Arabidopsis thaliana: one gene and its partner. The protein of the gene in region 1 purifies or fractionates together with the protein of each later gene. This does not show direct contact. Each region holds a gene or a part of one and is shown on either strand. Other genes may lie near its edges. The genes, in order: LHCB6 and NPQ4.

Region 1 (4,121 bases):
CACCGCCTCCTCCGATTCCGGTTCCTTGCCCACCTCCACCATCTCCACCACCACCGCCTCCTCCGCAGCCTTGCATTACTTGTGTCACAGCCCCAGCACCGCCTCCTCCCCAGCCTTGCATTACTTGTGTAATAGCCCCAGCATCACCTCCTCCGCAGCCTTGCATTACTTGTGTAGCAGCCCCGGAACCGCCTCCTCCCCAGCCTTGCATAACTTGCATCCCAGCACCAGCTTCACCGCCGCCAGTACCGCCGGTGATACCATTTGTCCCTACGCCGATTTTTATACTCCCTCCATTGCCGCCTTTATTTCCTGTTCTACCACCACCATCTGTGACGCCTTCTCCGGTGCTACCCCTTCCTCCACCTTCTGCGCCTCTTCCACCACCATTATCTTCCTCTCTTCCCTCACCACCTCTTCCATTAGTTTTATCACCACCACCACCTCTACCTGGCGGCACGGTTTCACAGCCACCATTTACAATGACACCGCCTCCTCTTTTAGGTGGTGGCGCTCCGGGAACCACAGATTCACCTCCTCCGCCTCTTTTAGGCAGTGGCGCTCCGGGAATCACTGGTTCCCCTCCTCCTCCTCTTTTAGGCGGTGGAGCTCCGGGAATCACTGGTTCACCTCCTCCTCCTCTTTTAGGCGGCGGAGCTCCGGGAATCACTGGTTCACCCCCTCCTCCTCTTTTAGGCGGCGGAGCTCCGGGAATCACTGGTTCACCCCCTCCTCCTCTTTTAGGCGGCGGAGCTCCGGGAATCACTGGTTCACCTCCTCCTCCTCTTTTTGGCGGCGGAGCTCCGGGAATCACTGGTTCACCTCCTCCACCTCTTTTTGGCGGCGGAGCTCCAGGAATCGCTGGTTCACCCCCTCCTCCTCTTATAGGCGGTGGTGCTCCGGGAATCACCGTTTCTCCTCCTCCTCTATTAGGTGGCGGAGCTCCGGGAATCACCGGTTCACCTCCTCCGCCTCTAGTCGCAGACGTCCCGCCCATGCCACCACTAGCATGGTTTTCGCCGCCTGATATTACTACTGGATCACCACCACCATCTCCAGTTTTCCTCCTTCCTCCGCCTTTAGACCGGTCAACATTAACGCCACCAGCTGCACCTGTAGACAATCTCCCACCGGTTATAATCACGGGATCTCCTCCACCAGTAAACAATCTCCCACCGGATATAGTCATCGGACAACCGCCACCACCTGATGTAACCATTGAACCGCCTATTGACCAGTCAACATTAACGCCACCAGTCATTCCCGTGACTTTGCCTCCACCGGTTCAAGACCTTCCTTCGATTTTACCTCCCCCGGCTGATGAGTTGCCGCCACCGGTTCAAGAATTCCCTCCGATTTTGCCTCCACCGGTTCAAGATTTCCCCCCAATTCTCGCTCCCCCGGCTGATGAGTTCCCGCCAAATTTGCCTCCACCGGTTCTAGAATTCCCTCCGATTATGCCTCCACCGGTTCAAGATTTCCCGCCAATTCTCACTCCACCGGCTGAAGAGTTCCCGCCGATTTTGCCTCCACCGGTTCAAGAGATCCCGCCGGTTTTCACATTACCACCGACCGTACAAGATCCACCGACAATTCCAGTATTCTCCACACCACCAGTCCTCGGAGATTTCCCACCCCAAACTCCCGACTTTACCACGCCGCCAGAGGTCACAAATCCATGGCAACCGCCGGTGACGTCATTCGCACCACCAATAGAGTCCATCCCAACAATACCGGATAATCCGTTTCCGGTTACACCAAACCCGGACATGGGTTCAAATCAACCGTTTGTTGAGCTTCCTCCGCCTACTTGGGATTCCCCGCCATTTAATCGTTAATTCTCTTTATATATTTTTAAATTTTCGTTTTTTTTTTCAGTTAATCATGTAATGTGTAATCTAAACGCAATAAGCCACATAATGCAGCCATTTTGTAAATTCATTGCTGTCATTTACATTTCAATAAGAAAATAAATTAATTTCCACGTGTCATTTTATTTTCCTCTCACAATTTAGATTTAGATAAGTAAAGTATTAGAAAAATGTAAATACTGAGTTGGCAGAATAAGACAGTGGTGAGTGTGGGTGATGTGGATATGGTGAAGTAGTTTCTGACTCCTAATTGGTCAGAAATCTATCCACGACAGCCTCTGAGATTTCGTCTATAGATTCTCATTATCTCACATTGTCCCTCTAAATCTCCTCTCTTTGATTCTTTCTGCTCCGAAAAACAGAGAGAGAGAACAACAACCAAACACTCATTTCTCCACATCTTGAGAGAAAAAAACAGAGCAAGTATATTAGAGATCTCATGGCGATGGCGGTCTCCGGAGCTGTCCTCAGTGGGCTTGGTTCTTCGTTCCTCACCGGAGGCAAGAGAGGTGCCACCGCATTGGCAAGCGGCGTAGGCACTGGAGCTCAGAGAGTTGGCAGGAAAACTCTTATTGTCGCTGCTGCGGCTGCTCAGCCTAAGAAATCTTGGATCCCTGCCGTTAAAGGTGGTGGCAACTTCCTTGACCCTGAATGGCTCGATGGCTCGTAAGTCTATTCTCTTTTATATCTGAGTTACTAGCATGAACAATGCTGAATTTTCATTCATATCTCTCATAAACTAGCTTGGACAATAGATTATGATAATTCAAGGTCCTGATTACTCATTTGGTTCTAATTTGTTAGCTGAATCTCAAGAGAGCATGAAAAGCCCGAATTGTTTGTTACCCAGTTATTGAGTCAAATGTGTGTGATATTCGCAGGCTACCAGGAGATTTCGGGTTCGACCCATTGGGTTTGGGGAAAGACCCGGCTTTTCTGAAATGGTACAGAGAGGCTGAGCTGATCCATGGCCGATGGGCGATGGCAGCGGTTCTTGGGATCTTCGTCGGCCAGGCCTGGAGCGGTGTGGCATGGTTTGAAGCTGGAGCCCAGCCAGACGCGATCGCTCCCTTCTCGTTCGGGTCGCTTCTTGGAACCCAATTGCTTCTCATGGGTTGGGTGGAGAGCAAACGATGGGTCGATTTCTTCAACCCGGATTCTCAATCGGTTGAGTGGGCAACGCCATGGTCGAAGACCGCCGAGAATTTCGCGAACTATACCGGCGATCAGGGATACCCCGGTGGGAGATTCTTCGATCCGTTGGGTCTCGCCGGGAAAAACCGCGACGGTGTTTATGAGCCGGACTTTGAGAAGCTGGAGAGGCTGAAATTGGCAGAGATTAAGCACTCGAGGCTCGCAATGGTTGCCATGTTGATCTTTTACTTTGAGGCCGGGCAGGGGAAAACGCCTCTCGGTGCTCTTGGTTTGTGAGAAAACGGCATGATGTTTTTGATTCTGTAGATACAATTTCTCTTCCAAAAACCTAATGTTTCTCTTCTTCAATGTGACATTTGGGAAAAGATCATCAAACCATTGCTATAAATGTAAAATGAAATCATGAGGCTTGTTCGTAGATAACTTTATTATCACAACTCAAATGTGAAAGGGAATACTAAACATCAATGAAAGAGATCCACAACTTCATTTCTTTGCCACAAATGCATGATTGAAGAGCTCCAGCTGAAACACTGGAGTAAGAGGACAAAATAGAATAGAGCGACTTTCTTCCCTAGAGTGGAAAATGCCTAACAGGGTTTGAACAGCTAAGTCTCACTCACAACAGTAAGTTGGTTGAACCAAAAGAGTGCACAGATACCATCATCGGGTCTCTAGTGCAATAAAGCTTAGCACTTGTAATCCGGGTTGTCACGAAGGCTGAGTTTTGACAGGACAAGGCAGTAAGAATCCCAGTCAGTTCGTCTTAGATATTTCAACAGTTTCTTCCGTTTCTGCACCATTCCTAAAAGTCCCTTCCGCGAATGCTTGTCCTACGGTACAGCCACCAACAGGTATGACATAAGGTTCCACAAGAAACTGGGATGGATAGCTTCACAAAAATATCGAAAACAGTTTGAAGTTTTACCTTTTTGTGCAAACTTGAGGATAAATGCTTGATCTTAGTAGTGAGTTGTGCCACTGTAAGGAGAGACCAGAGACATCACAAGACAATCTATCTTAGAACGTGTAAACCTTTAAATGGCTAAAGTCAACATTGATCAGACCACTGGCCTTATGTAGAGTTTACCTTGC
Region 2 (5,526 bases), about 11 Mb from region 1:
CTGGTTTAGGTTGGCAGTTTCTATGATTTTGTTTGATCGTTTATACTATTCTTTCTAGTTGAGTTTGATCTTAATGCATGTATGTCTCGCACACCACCTAATACATGATCTTAGGTATTTTATACTTAGCATAATTTCGTATAATTGCTTGAACCTAACTCACAAATGAATATTGTGTTATAACTATGCAAACGCTAAGTTATAGAGCCTTATGGATTAGAATCGAACTTGAACTTAAAGATTTGATCTATGCGTCGGTTTTTCCCTTATTTTGGGGTCTATTGTTTTTTACAAAAATCTTAACAAAATGCGATTCAAAAATTTGAAACCCAATACAAATGCATCATAAAAATTGGTGAAATGCCGGACCAGTCTGTCCTCGATCAACAGCTAGTTGTTCTCTAGATTTTGAAATATCTTGAGGATGTTTACCCGATGTCTCCGTCCCCACGTTTCTGATAAATGAAACGGCAGTAGATAGAAATATATGTGTTTCCTAGTAAGTTAACTGTATTTCTTTGTGACATATTATGTTATGTGTACCATGTTATTTGGCTATTTGCTATGATAATGTATAAATTATCACATAGCGTCCTAGCGAAATTAATAAAATCTATACTCGAAAATCATTAATCTGAAAGTTCATTAACAGATACACGCCAACATAAAACTATAACATGTTAAAGAGAAAAATACTATTTTCTAATTGATTAAATAAAATGTAAAAACATCCAAAAATACATGTCACATTATTGTTATTTTACTTATTAGGTTTGTTCCCAAAGTATATGCCTAAGCCCACTTGTTTTGTAATAACGTGAAATGAGCAGTTCGTGTTCAAACACGTCTTACATGGAGACAATTAATTAAACACCACTTACTTGTTACTACAAATATACTCTTTCGGAGTGTTGCGAGCAATTTATAAGTCGCACATATTTTTGACTCGAATCGAGTCAATCAGGTTTTCTCAAACTATTAGGGATTTTATGTAATATTTTTTTTTAAAAGGTATATTGATGTGAGTTGCCCAAAAAAAGAAGAAGGTGTGATTGATGTGAAATTGTTTTCAAAATAGGGGTTTAATGTATGTACATATAATTAAAATTAAAATGAAAGTTTATGATATTTAAATATTATATGTCCATTTTGAATATATATGATGATTGTTCAATTGATACAATTTAAATTACAAAATAATGAACTTTTTAGTAGAAGACAATGTTTTGTGTTTAAATTATAACTTTAATGAGACTCATAGAAAGAAAACAAATATGCCTAAACCCGCTTGTCATGATGTGAGATGAGGTGTTCGTGTCCAAAGTTCAAACACGTCTCTCATCGAGAAAACTAATTAAACACCAAAAATTATTCCTTTCTGAGTGTTGTGCGAGTATTTGTAGTTTCAAATGTTTTTTACTCGATTCAAGTTTTTACCGTCCCTAACTATTTTAAGGTTATAAGCGGGTGCGGTTGCGGTTACGGGAGTTTGCGGAAACGGGCGATCACGGTTTTAAGCGTTATCAAGCATTTTGAACGACTGGTTGAGCGTTTGATAATAGGTGCGTTTGCGGGAGTTTTATGACTGATAAACCAGCCGGTGCGATAGTAATTAAATAAAAAATAACCAAAATAAATATAATATATTACTATTAAAAGAAATAAAAATATAATATATTAGAAAAATTGATTTTCTGACCAAATAAAAATACAATATATCATCTCGTCCGACTAAAACATTTTCTAATCGAGAAAACAAATCGAAACATGTATTCAATCAAAAAACTCAAAAGAATACAAAATAAAATAAAAACAATGATGCCATGAAATAGTCAAAGAATTACACTAGCTAATGAGTGAATAAAATGATAGATGATACTTATGTTTGATTCTTGATTTTGATTTTCATCGGATGCCATAATTGAGAGAATAGAGTTACAATATATTGATTAGGGTTTTCTAATAAAAATAAGATATATAAAAGATTAGATTATTTTAATTATAGTGATTAGGGTTTGGGTGGAAACCACAATTATTTTAATTAACTAAAAATAGATTATTTTTTTATTTTTAATCTAACCGCTACCGCCCGCAACCGCAAACGCTTGCGGGAAGGAGCTTTTGAAAATTGGCAATTTTGAGCGGTCCAAAGCGATATCTAGCGGTTTCTATGATTGGTTCCAATCGCTAATAACCGCTACCAACCGCAAACGCTGCGTTTATGGGTGGTAGAGGGAGAACCAATCAGCCCTTAACAAAACCGAAAAAACTAAAGATTTGAACCTAAGTGTCGAAGATTCTTTCGGACCAGTCTTTACCACTAGACTACCTAACAAATACGAAAATATGAAGCCAAAATTGTTTTTATACTATTTGCGACCGTAAGTTTGGGTTTAGCCCGCTTGTGTTTGTGCCCGGCTCTGGCTATATTAAAAAAGAATTAGATATTTTTCAAATATAATATTTTTTACAAAATATGTAATTGATGTGAATTTTTTCAATATAGGTGTTCTTATTTATATACATATTATAAAAAAAATTAAGCCATTTCGTTTTTGTAATATCTAATGTACCAGTTCCATTAGTATGTACTTTGCTAGTATAACATACCCTTTTGACGTGAATCTTCTATGAGTATGTTTCTTTAGTTTTGACCAGACACAATTCATTTACATCAATACATAAATTGGATTTTAGTTCCAAAATATGATTTTCTTGAAAGAAATATTTTATATTTTTATTAGAAGGAGTTATTAGTTCGTCATAAATGGTTCTTTGAATATGACATTTATTTTGTTTTTTTGTTTACTGTCTAAATAAGTATAACTTTTAAAAAGTGTATCTAAATTTTTTAAAAACTATTATATTGATAGATTTATTTTTCTCCACAAAAACGTTATCTCCAGTTCACCACATAGAGAGTATGGAAAGGACAATTGGGAGACGTGGACGCACTTTAAGCCCATCAATAGATTTCCCTTATATCTTTTAATCTCTTCACTTCCACAACACAACACAAAACACATCACTGATCCTTCTCTCATCCTCAGAAAGAATGGCTCAAACCATGCTGCTTACTTCAGGCGTCACCGCCGGCCATTTTTTGAGGAACAAGAGCCCTTTGGCTCAGCCCAAAGTTCACCATCTCTTCCTCTCTGGAAACTCTCCGGTTGCACTACCATCTAGGAGACAATCATTCGTTCCTCTCGCTCTCTTCAAACCCAAAACCAAAGCTGCTCCTAAAAAGGTTTTCACATACTCTTTACTTGTCCCACAAGGAACATTTCTTGTGTGTTTGATGGTAATGTTAAGATTTTCATATACATTTTAGGTTGAGAAGCCGAAGAGCAAGGTTGAGGATGGCATCTTTGGAACGTCTGGTGGGATTGGTTTCACAAAGGCGAATGAGCTATTCGTTGGTCGTGTTGCTATGATCGGTTTCGCTGTAAGTCCCCTCTATGAAATACACTAACTTATCTTCCAAGAAAGAAGCTTTAGTATGAAAGCTGTGTTTCTATGCATAGGCATCGTTGCTTGGTGAGGCGTTGACGGGAAAAGGGATATTAGCTCAGCTGAATCTGGAGACAGGGATACCGATTTACGAAGCAGAGCCATTGCTTCTCTTCTTCATCTTGTTCACTCTGTTGGGAGCCATTGGAGCTCTCGGAGACAGAGGAAAATTCGTCGACGATCCTCCCACCGGGCTCGAGAAAGCCGTCATTCCTCCCGGCAAAAACGTCCGATCTGCCCTCGGTCTCAAAGAACAAGGTATCTCTCAACATTTCTATTTCTATCTTTGTTACAATGACATTGCTCTGAACAACCAATGCAAATAATATAACCTGATAGAGTACTATAGTAACTAGTATAACTGAATTGGCCTAAGTGTAGTGTCCGGATCGGCTTTATGTTTATTTATCGTTATCCTAAGATACAAATGTGAGACAAAAGATACTAGCATGGAACTGTCAATCTCCAAAAATAATCTCTAAATGTTTATTTATTTATCGTTGGCCTGATAGATTATTTATCGTTATCAATTTCTATCTTTTTCCCCCATGTAAGCACATTGGTTCCTGAATGGCTTTCTCTAGCAGAGAGTCTCTTCCCGTTAACTTAAATAAAATAGTGTTTCTGAAAAGAAAAAAAGATACAAATATGAGATTACTTAAAGAGTTGCTTGGTCTAATGTTTTGAATAAATTTGAATATGTTTGTTGTTTTGTTGTGTGAAGGTCCATTGTTTGGGTTCACGAAGGCGAACGAGTTATTCGTAGGAAGATTGGCACAGTTGGGAATAGCATTTTCACTGATAGGAGAGATTATTACCGGGAAAGGAGCATTAGCTCAACTCAACATTGAGACCGGTATACCAATTCAAGATATCGAACCACTTGTCCTCTTAAACGTTGCTTTCTTCTTCTTCGCTGCCATTAATCCTGGTAATGGAAAATTCATCACCGATGATGGTGAAGAAAGCTAAATTATCATGTACTTAAATTTAGTAGAGAGTGTGTGACCTTCTCTTCATGTTGAGACAAAAGGAAATGGACAGCTTAAATTGTTGTAATACTTATATCCTTTTGTTTTTAACTTGGAATTTTCTGATTATATATAGTTTTATTACACCTAAGTGACTAGGTGATTGATATCATCTAGCATCTCTTAACAGAAAAAAACTGTGGAATTAGAACAGCTTCATCATAGTTTTTTTTTTTGATAAATCAAACAGAATTTAAAACTAATATGTTAAAGTACATGTTAGGAACTTATTTGATTCCAAAATCTAGATTATAAAATTAATTTGGTAAATCATGAAGGAGCCGTTGTTTTTGCTCTAGTGGTTCCCCAAAAATCAGAACATAATGGCAAGTGTTTATGGCCGCGCGTACCTTCACAAGATAGTTTGCAAAAGTGAAGGTAGCGTCTCCCCTAGAGTGATTTTCTCCATTCGTCTGGTGTACCTGGCTCGTACAGGCCGTCTCTGGGGGTGGCAAGGTAGGCAAATGCCCAAGGTTACTAATCAATTTCAAAAAAATTGTTAAGACTAAAAGGCCCCAATTTTTCCAAAAAAAAACATTTACTAAGAGATTTTATTTTATTTTGAGTTTTGCCATAGGTCTCATAATGAATTGAGCCGGGATCTAAAGCATACACTGCAAGAGTAAATATTAATTTCTATTCTAGAGGACGTCTTCGATGTTGACGAAAAGAAAAGTATCCCATGCAAATCCAGCAACTCTGTCCTATTTCGGACAGTCCAAAAATCGAACTTACGAAACAATTGATCTAAAAATCATGAGCGTTCCAAATACTCCTCATAATGGTAAAATTCATAATCAAACTTCCCAATAAAAAAGAAGCCAAAAACATCTAAAATTTATGTTTACCTGTACCCAACCCTTAAACATGTTTTCAAAAGAATCTCCAAAATCATTCCTTCATCAAACCAAATCAAATCTTAAAATAAAATTTTATATAAAGAAAAAAAAAACTTAAAACCCAAAATGTGAAACGTAACTCAAAA

What was found.
Region 2: the proteins of LHCB6 (region 1) and NPQ4 fractionate together in Arabidopsis thaliana (co-fractionation; one large-scale study listed by BioGRID). This does not show direct contact.

The regions. Positions count from the first base shown.
Region 1 is NC_003070.9:5,445,866-5,449,986, reverse strand, and holds LHCB6 (light harvesting complex photosystem II subunit 6), read left to right. Parts: upstream 1-2,106; 5' UTR 2,107-2,310; coding exon 2,311-2,537; exon of another isoform or gene 2,538-2,752; coding exon 2,753-3,302; 3' UTR 3,303-3,525; downstream 3,526-4,121. Other genes in the region: AT1G15830 (uncharacterized protein), read right to left, coding at 1-1,261; AT1G15825 (hydroxyproline-rich glycoprotein family protein), read left to right, coding at 1,458-1,838; AT1G15810 (S15/NS1, RNA-binding protein), read right to left, coding at 3,716-3,859, 3,955-4,007, 4,117-4,121.
Region 2 is NC_003070.9:16,868,713-16,874,238, forward strand, and holds NPQ4 (Chlorophyll A-B binding family protein), read left to right. Parts: upstream 1-1,508; 5' UTR 1,509-1,562; intron 1,563-2,798; exon of another isoform or gene 2,799-2,906; 5' UTR 2,907-3,055; coding exon 3,056-3,247; intron 3,248-3,331; coding exon 3,332-3,445; intron 3,446-3,524; coding exon 3,525-3,768; coding exon of another isoform or gene 3,769-3,836; exon of another isoform or gene 3,837-4,234; coding exon 4,235-4,482; 3' UTR 4,483-4,712; downstream 4,713-5,526. UniProt on the Arabidopsis thaliana protein: Plays an important role in non-photochemical quenching (NPQ), a process maintains the balance between dissipation and utilization of light energy to minimize generation of oxidizing molecules, thereby protecting the plant against photo-oxidative damage; acts upstream of DLDG1.